2 linked regions of the Callithrix jacchus genome follow. The protein of the gene in region 1 purifies or fractionates together with the protein of each later gene. This does not show direct contact. Links are inferred from orthologs where the notes say so. Each region holds a gene or a part of one and is shown on either strand. Other genes may lie near its edges.

Region 1 (3,825 bases):
GGGAAACCATATGCAGACTTCAATTTTTATAACATTTAGCTAAGCTAAAATAGAATGTTAGTCTCTATCACCTGATGTTTGACACTTAGGAAATTCCTCTAGCACTAAAATACTCAGAAAGGAAGGAGAGGTTGTTTTTTTCTGAGGGTGGAATTGGAATCACTTTATTTTACTGCTGTAGCATGCTAGGAATGTAGCTGGGTTGCATGTGGAGGTGGAGTTGTTTCTGAGAAAGTCAGTTAACAAAGGCCTCTGCAGTCCCCTCTGTGCATGACTAATATTTCATTGGAATGTATCAGCTGAAATATGGAAATACATCCATAACAGTGGGTAAATATTCACTCTCTGAGACCTGTAAGTATTCCTCTTTGCAGTCCCAGACCCTTCCCCCTATATGCCACCCCACGACCCAGCAATTAAAAATTATTAACATTAAATGCTCTGTGACTGTTTAATATCAAATTCTGGTTTCTATGCTAACATTTCTGGCAAATCATTATTAAATTCGTTGTTGCTTATTTTTGTAGAAATATTATGGCTCTTCGAAATCATTTAGTTTCAAGCACACCTGCCACGGATTATTTTCTGCAACAAAAAGACTACTTCATCATTTTCCTCCTGATTCTGCTTCAAGTCATAATAAACTTCATGTTCAAATAGTTCTCTACCATTGAATCAGTGAACTAGAAAGATCTGATTTGGCCTGGGACCATTGTTCAAGTTGGTTTGGTCTTTATTAAAAATCACAATATTTCTAAAAAAATAAAAATAAAAAAAAAACCTAGTAGATAAATGTAGAGGTATTGACTTTTCGTATCTTTTATCTTCACACTGAAACAAGAGCTATCCTATTTGATTATTAAAGTGAGCTATGTGTTAAGTGCCAGGACATTTCTAGCTTTTGTGAGAATGTGTCTACATGTGAGTATAATAAACCCACATGTATACACAATTGTCTCTTAAGTACTCTTACCTTACAGTAATCTTCGTATTCTATAGTATGTTCTGAGATGTAATGTTAACATTGTTCATAACAAAAAATGCTATAATCTTATAAATACATGTAATCTATTTTCTTCATAAAACAGGCACAAAACTTTTATCAGTAAGGAATTACAGATTGAGAAATGATGGAATAATAGACATAATTAGTTCAATGCAGTACTGCTAAAATCATTTGCAAAGCACTCAGCTGAGTTATCTTCTTAGAAAGAAAAAGTATGAATGGTCAAAATGAATATATTGAAAGAGATAAATGGCAAATTGTTTTTTTTAAAGTTTACACAAGATTTTTTTTAACCCCCAGAATTTAATATATAGAGATTGAGGTAAATATATATACTTATGTGTATATCAGTATAAAAACACTGGTGTGCAACTACTTGGATTGATTATAATACCACCTTAAGCACTTGCAGAAAAAAGTGTTGTCAAAATTGATTGCTGTCCTTTTTTCTTACTTTTGTTTTTCTTAGGTCATCTGGTTCATAACATAGGCCAAATTCTAGAGATGTTTATAGGGCATTTGAAGTGCTGGTAATTCATGTTTTCTCATTATGAAAACTTATTTTAGCTTTAGACCCTAGTGTGTTCAGTGAGTAAGTAGAATACAAAAGATTATAACCAATATTTTACTTCAAAAGCCAAAAAGAGAAAGTCAGTAAGAAAAGACACTGTGTGGTGGCACGTATGTGTACATTAAGATTGGTTTCTGTAAAACACGCAATAAGTTGAGTATCTATGAAGACTATCAAGTTCTGAAGTTTAATTTTTTATTATCCCCCTCTATTTTTAGTAACTTCTTTCTGTGGCAAAACCACAATTCTTTGAGAATTCTATTATTCAGGCTAAGAAAAACTTAAGTTTTTTTGTTTCTTCAGTTTAATATTTTCACTTTGTATTTTTATATAAATATTTATATTCCATGAGAACAGTTTTTGCCAAGGTAGTTAAGTTTAGGAATATGTTGTTCTCAAATATGTCTTAGAATCCTGAAAGTATAGATTTTGAATTTTTTTTTAATAATAATGAATGTCAGAGAGAATAATTGCCCTGACCACATTTGCCTTTCAGTAGGAGGTGGCTGTGAAATAGTAAAATTATAATCAGTTGTTTATGCCATGATAAATACAAGGGCTGATTGCTAAATTATGAAAATCAAAATGATTATAAAAAGAGCCTGCTTTTTTCCCTAACCAGTGTAGCTATCTTAAGTATTCTTAGGTTTCTGTGAAGAACCATTTCCCATGTTTTGTTGGCACAGTAATTCTGTCTTCTATATGTACATGTGAATTGATGTTTTAAATTGATAAAAGCATAAATAAGACCAACCTATACCCATTATTTTCATGACATTAGAACTAATGGATTTTTGGTTATATTTCATATTTGTCAATGTAATTTTTGTATTCACATTCTGTTACATTCTGCCTATTCATTGATATATGATATTCTGTAAATATTGTACAACTTGATCTTTTTTATGCTTTAAATTAGTTAATTACATGTAACTTGATTGGCTTATCACAAAAATGATTTCATCATTAAACCTTGATAACACTTTTTATTGGTGACCCACCTCTTAGGACTTTGGTCTTATCCACGTGTATGTTGTTTTCATTTGGTACAAATAATATTTCATCTGTATGGGTATCATCTAAGACTAAACAGGTGGTTGTTTTCTTTATTTTTAAAATTTCTTTTTAGAGCAAATGTTATGGGTTCTTACCCAAAGAGTCAAAACTATTTCTTAAGAAAGAGCAGGGTTATTCATGACTGTTTCTTGTACACTAAAAGCATACATCTAATCTAATAGTCCTCTTACGCTTTTAGTTGTATGAGTTTCTTTCTATGAACTGAACACAAAACTCAGGAATTGGTGGCTTAATTTTAGATCAGTGCTTGTACTAGGCTTAGTTATACGAATCTTTAAAACACGTAATTACTAACTTTGTAGCCATAATATGTAATTGACTTTGAATGTTATTTACCTGAAATTAATCTTCCTTCACACCTGAATTCATAATGTGATTTACAGTTCCTAGTTGTCTGAGAGCCTCATGAGGGTTTCTAGGACTTAGTACTTTATGACCAGTTTTTTTCATTTATCAAAATTTTATTTTCTTACATGAAAACTTAATTGAGTAATAATTATTCACATGTGCATTTTATTCATAGCTGTTAAATGTCCCATGCCATCATTAACCATTTAGTAAGATGTAGCTGGCCCAGGACACGTAAAAGAAAACAGTAAATAGGGCATGTGAAATGTTAAGTTACAGCAATAGATATTTCGCTTGTATTTCATTGTTTTGTATCACTTAGGTACAGTGTACTCTTGGTCACAGCTCAGTTGGCAACTACGTTCCATTGAAAAGTAGGCCTTGTAAAATACAATTTTCATTTAATATTCATACTGTTGTGCCTTTAAGAAATATGTTTTGTCATTTTTGTGTTACAGAACTAATATGATTCAAGGTGTTTATAGACTTAGTTGTCATAAAAGCGTCATTTCTGTGTCACTTTATTTTTTTTTATATAGCTATAGTATATTTAAACAATAATGCTATCTTTTATAAGGGTTTGTCTATTTACCTATTCTTTACTCAGACATTGATGTAGACTTGTCAGATTATTCTGAATATTGTTAACAGTGCCTTTTCGATGGAATTCACACTTTTTTGGCTGTCAACTTGTGCCATATACATACAAAATTTTGTGGAAGGCAGTTTTAACTTTTTGAAGAATATCTGTCAAAATTTAAGAAAACAAATGTATAAAATTCCATTTTTTCCAGTATTTAGCATTTCTAGTAAGCAGTGAGGT
Region 2 (3,825 bases), on another chromosome or scaffold:
AGACCAGCAGCAGTGGCCACAGCACCCCTGGGAACTTGCAGATTCCTGGGCTGAACTAGAAGCTCTGGGAGTAGAGCACAAAGCTTCTTAATAGCCTCCCCAGGGGATTCTGATGCAGGCTCAAGTTTGGAAACCACAGAGCTGAGAAAACTGACCTAGCTTTGTCCTGAGACACAAGTAAATAGATGTGCAATAAATAGATGATTGGTTTTGAGGACAACTCCAGGTAGCTATACTGAGAAAGTGACCATCTAGTGTTCTGATCATCCATCTGCCACACTCAGATTTTTCTGTTCTACAGATTGTTTTGCTTCATTCCCTCCTTCACCAGATGTTCTCTGCATCAGGGCTGAGCTGATTACCTAGATGTCAGTTCCTTGATCTAGCCACACACATAAGGAGACTCAACTCAAGGTTCAGATGGGCAAGGTGGCTCACGCCCATAATCTCAGCACTTTGGGAGGCCAAGGCGGGAGAATCACCTGAGCTCAGGAGTTAGAGAGCAGCCTGGCCAACATGGTGAAACCCCGTCTCAACTAAAAATACAAAAATTAGCCTGGTGTGGTAGTGCGTACCTGTAGTCCTAGCTACTCAGGAGGCTGAGGCAGGAGAATCACTTGAACCCCGGAGGTTGAGGCTGCAGCTGCAGTGAGCTGAGATCGCACTGCTGCACTCCAGCATGAGCAACAGAGCAACATTCTGTCTCAAAAAATAAAAAAAAAAAATTAATTTAAACTCAAGGTTCTAGCTCCTTTATTTCAGCTTTCCTTTAAATTAAAATGCTACTTTTTACACTATCAAATAACATCCAGAGAGAATTTGGAATTTACAATGTAAATCTTTTTAACTGGCCTGTTGAAATTGAGTCATATGGAAATGTCAGGCTCTGATCTGAGAGCGCTTTGTAAGATTTTCTAAAAGTCAGTGAGCAATCCCTGTCCCCGTAACAAGATGTCAGCAGATTATAATCACATGTTTTAGAGAACTAGAAACAGAACCAGGAAGAGAGGCTCAATGCTCAATTGTCTCAACTAGGGTGTATCAGACACTGTGACACTTGAAGACTTGTGGATTTGCAGAACAGAGATGGAGTTTATTACTAGTCCAAAACTAATCTCTGATTTAATGGACAGCAGTAAGTGTACAGGGCCCTAGTTCTTTACTGCTTGGTAGGATTATAGCCCTTTAGTTAAAATGAACCAGTGAGTCCTTACCCCACATCCTTATTCATATTGGTTAGTGGAGAATTCCTAGGTTTTCCCACAGGACTTGGGTGGATAGGGCTTGAGGGCTACACAGCCACCTGGTACAGTGTTACATTCATGCTTAAATAATAAGTAGGTTCCTGAGATGTCATTTAACTTAACATCGCCTTCTAGATAGGAAACCAGTCCCATGCCAAAGTAAGAACCAGTGAGGTAGTGAAAAGAAATGTGAGAAATACAGTAGAGAATGCTTGTTCAGGCTTAGCTGCTCCTCTTGTACCATACGACACCTTCAGGCTGCTGCTTTCATCAGCTTTCTGATAGACGTTATGGGTGATCACAGGCTAGTCCAAGTGCAGTGGTGTTTACAACTAATTGAGCACAGCCAGTACAGATTTATTTGTTCCTTCTACACCTATGTTGCTGCACTTGATCATCCTTTAAAAAAAAAAAAGTGGCAAGGAAATGGTGGCTCACGACTATATCCCAGCACTTTGGGTGGCAGAGGCAGGCAGATCACCTGAAGTCAGTAGTTCAAGACCAGCCTGGCCAATATGGTAAAACCCCATTTCTACTAAAAAAAAAAAAAAATAGAAAAATTAGCTGGGGGTGGTGACACACACCTGTAATCCCAGCTACTCGGGAGGCTGAGGCAGGAGAATCACCTGAACCCAGGAGGTGGAGGTTTCAGTGAGCCAAGATCGCGCCACTGCACTCCAGCCTAGATGACAAAGCAAGACTCTGTCTCCCCCCTAAAAAAGCGGTTGCAGATGAGTTAATTGCCGTATTTGGATAGCTGTTTTTATAAAACTGTTTTCTTTGCAGAGGTTCTGTCCAGAAGCAGATTCTAAAACCATGTTGCAGTGCTTGAAGCAAAATAAAAACAGTGAATTGATGGATCCCAAATGCAAACAAATGATAACCAAGCGCCAAATCACCCAGAACACAGGTAAGAGCTTGGCTTGGCTCTCCTGGCCCCGTTGAGTATCTTAAAAGGAATTCAGTGGCTGTAGCGTGACCTGATCAAACTCCTGGGAATTTGAAGGGAGGAGTCTGAGTGTAAGCAGGAGACTTCCTTTTCTGAGGAGCATCCAGAAAAACGGAGGGAGAGTCAGGGGAGAGAGGAGGCCAGAAGAACCAGAAAACTGCCCTTCAAGAACGTTCAGAAGAAATCAGGGCCAGCATTCCTTGGAAGGAGAAATCTAGAAATTCAATAAAACTTGATGAGTGTGGCAGGAGAATGTATGGGTAACCTAGTTCGGAACAGAGACATTTCAACTCTGAGTTGGAAGACTTTGTAACTTCGTGGGCACAGTGAGTTGGATATTGTATTTCCTTCTAAGTATTCTCAAAAATATCTGTTACGGAGAAGGTTGCTGATGTCTGCTTGATTTTTCTGAGGACTCCTTACCTTAGACTGTTGGAATCCCCGTGAAACCCCTCAGAGTAGAAAGATTCCTGAGGACCTCCAGAAGTACTCATTAACTAAATCATATTGTGATTAAAAACAGTGTAGTGAGAACTCAGTAAATGTTTATTGAATAGACAGATTCATGGTTGTAGTCATGGTCATTGACATAATATGCTCCCTTTAGGAAGGTGGATATCTAAAAATGTGTGAATCCAAGGTGGAATATTTGTCACCCACTCTCTGCTTTCTGCTCTAGATTACCGCTTAAACCCCATGCTAAGAAAAGCCTGTAAAGCTGACATTCCTAAATTCTGTCACGGTATCCTGACTAAAGCCAAGGATGATTCAGAATTAGAAGGACAAGTCATCTCCTGCCTCAAGCTGAGATATGCTGACCAGGTAAACTGGCCTGGGCTCTCTACAAAGGTATATTTATGGAGCCTCTATCCCTGGGAATTTTCTCTTTTGAAATCCCTAGCTTGTTCTGGTTTTCCAAAAACCTTTTTCATATCTTCCCCAAGCCGGTGGGGCTAAGGGGCCAGATCAGAAGCAGACTTTTTTTTCTTCTTCTTTTTATTTTATTTTTCTCGTGTCCTGCTTTTGCATTTTCTGATCAGCCAATGTATCCTCCCTTTGTCACAAGCAGCGCCTGTCATCAGACTGCGAAGACCAGATCCGGATCATTATCCAGGAGTCCGCCCTGGACTACCGCCTGGATCCTCAGCTGCAGCTGCACTGCTCAGACGAGGTGGGATTTGTTGCAAAGTTGGTTGCACACGGAGCCACTCAGAGAAGTTTTCACTGGAGAAAAGTTGTTTGCTTTCTTTCCCTTCAGTCCTGAATAATCTGTGATGAATTGAAGGCTGTCTTCTAGGCTCTCCATGGTCTGCGTTCCTGTTCTCTGTAACACTGAATTCTATTTGGTGTTAGTCCTGACACTGTACAGCATTGGTTGCATATTTCTCTATTGAATGAGGGTATTCTTTCATTATAGTTTTCCTTGTAAATTTGTTCTTCCCTTCTCCTTATTCTGTATGGTCAACTCAGAATACCCCAAGACTTCCCAAAAAGATAAAAGTACTTCCAGCTGGGCACAGTGGCTCATGCCTGTAATCCAGTACTTTGGGAGACTGAGACGGGTAGATCACTTCAGGTCAGGAGTTTGAGAACAGCCTGGCCAACACGGTGAAACTTCATGTCTACTAAAAA

What was found.
Region 2: the proteins of OSBPL8 (region 1) and GLG1 purify together in Homo sapiens (co-immunoprecipitation; 3 studies listed by BioGRID and IntAct, with this or other methods). This does not show direct contact. The link is inferred for Callithrix jacchus from reciprocal best matches to the Homo sapiens genes OSBPL8 and GLG1.

Annotation. Positions count from the first base shown.
Region 1 is NC_133510.1:78,981,505-78,985,329, reverse strand, and holds part of OSBPL8 (oxysterol-binding protein-related protein 8), read left to right. Parts: intron 1-527; coding exon 528-660; 3' UTR 661-3,825. UniProt on the Homo sapiens protein: Lipid transporter involved in lipid countertransport between the endoplasmic reticulum and the plasma membrane: specifically exchanges phosphatidylserine with phosphatidylinositol 4-phosphate (PI4P), delivering phosphatidylserine to the plasma membrane in exchange for PI4P, which is degraded by the SAC1/SACM1L phosphatase in the endoplasmic reticulum.
Region 2 is NC_133521.1:31,788,548-31,792,372, reverse strand, and holds part of GLG1 (Golgi apparatus protein 1), read left to right. Parts: intron 1-2,030; coding exon 2,031-2,154; intron 2,155-2,872; coding exon 2,873-3,015; intron 3,016-3,262; coding exon 3,263-3,364; intron 3,365-3,825. UniProt on the Homo sapiens protein: Binds fibroblast growth factor and E-selectin (cell-adhesion lectin on endothelial cells mediating the binding of neutrophils).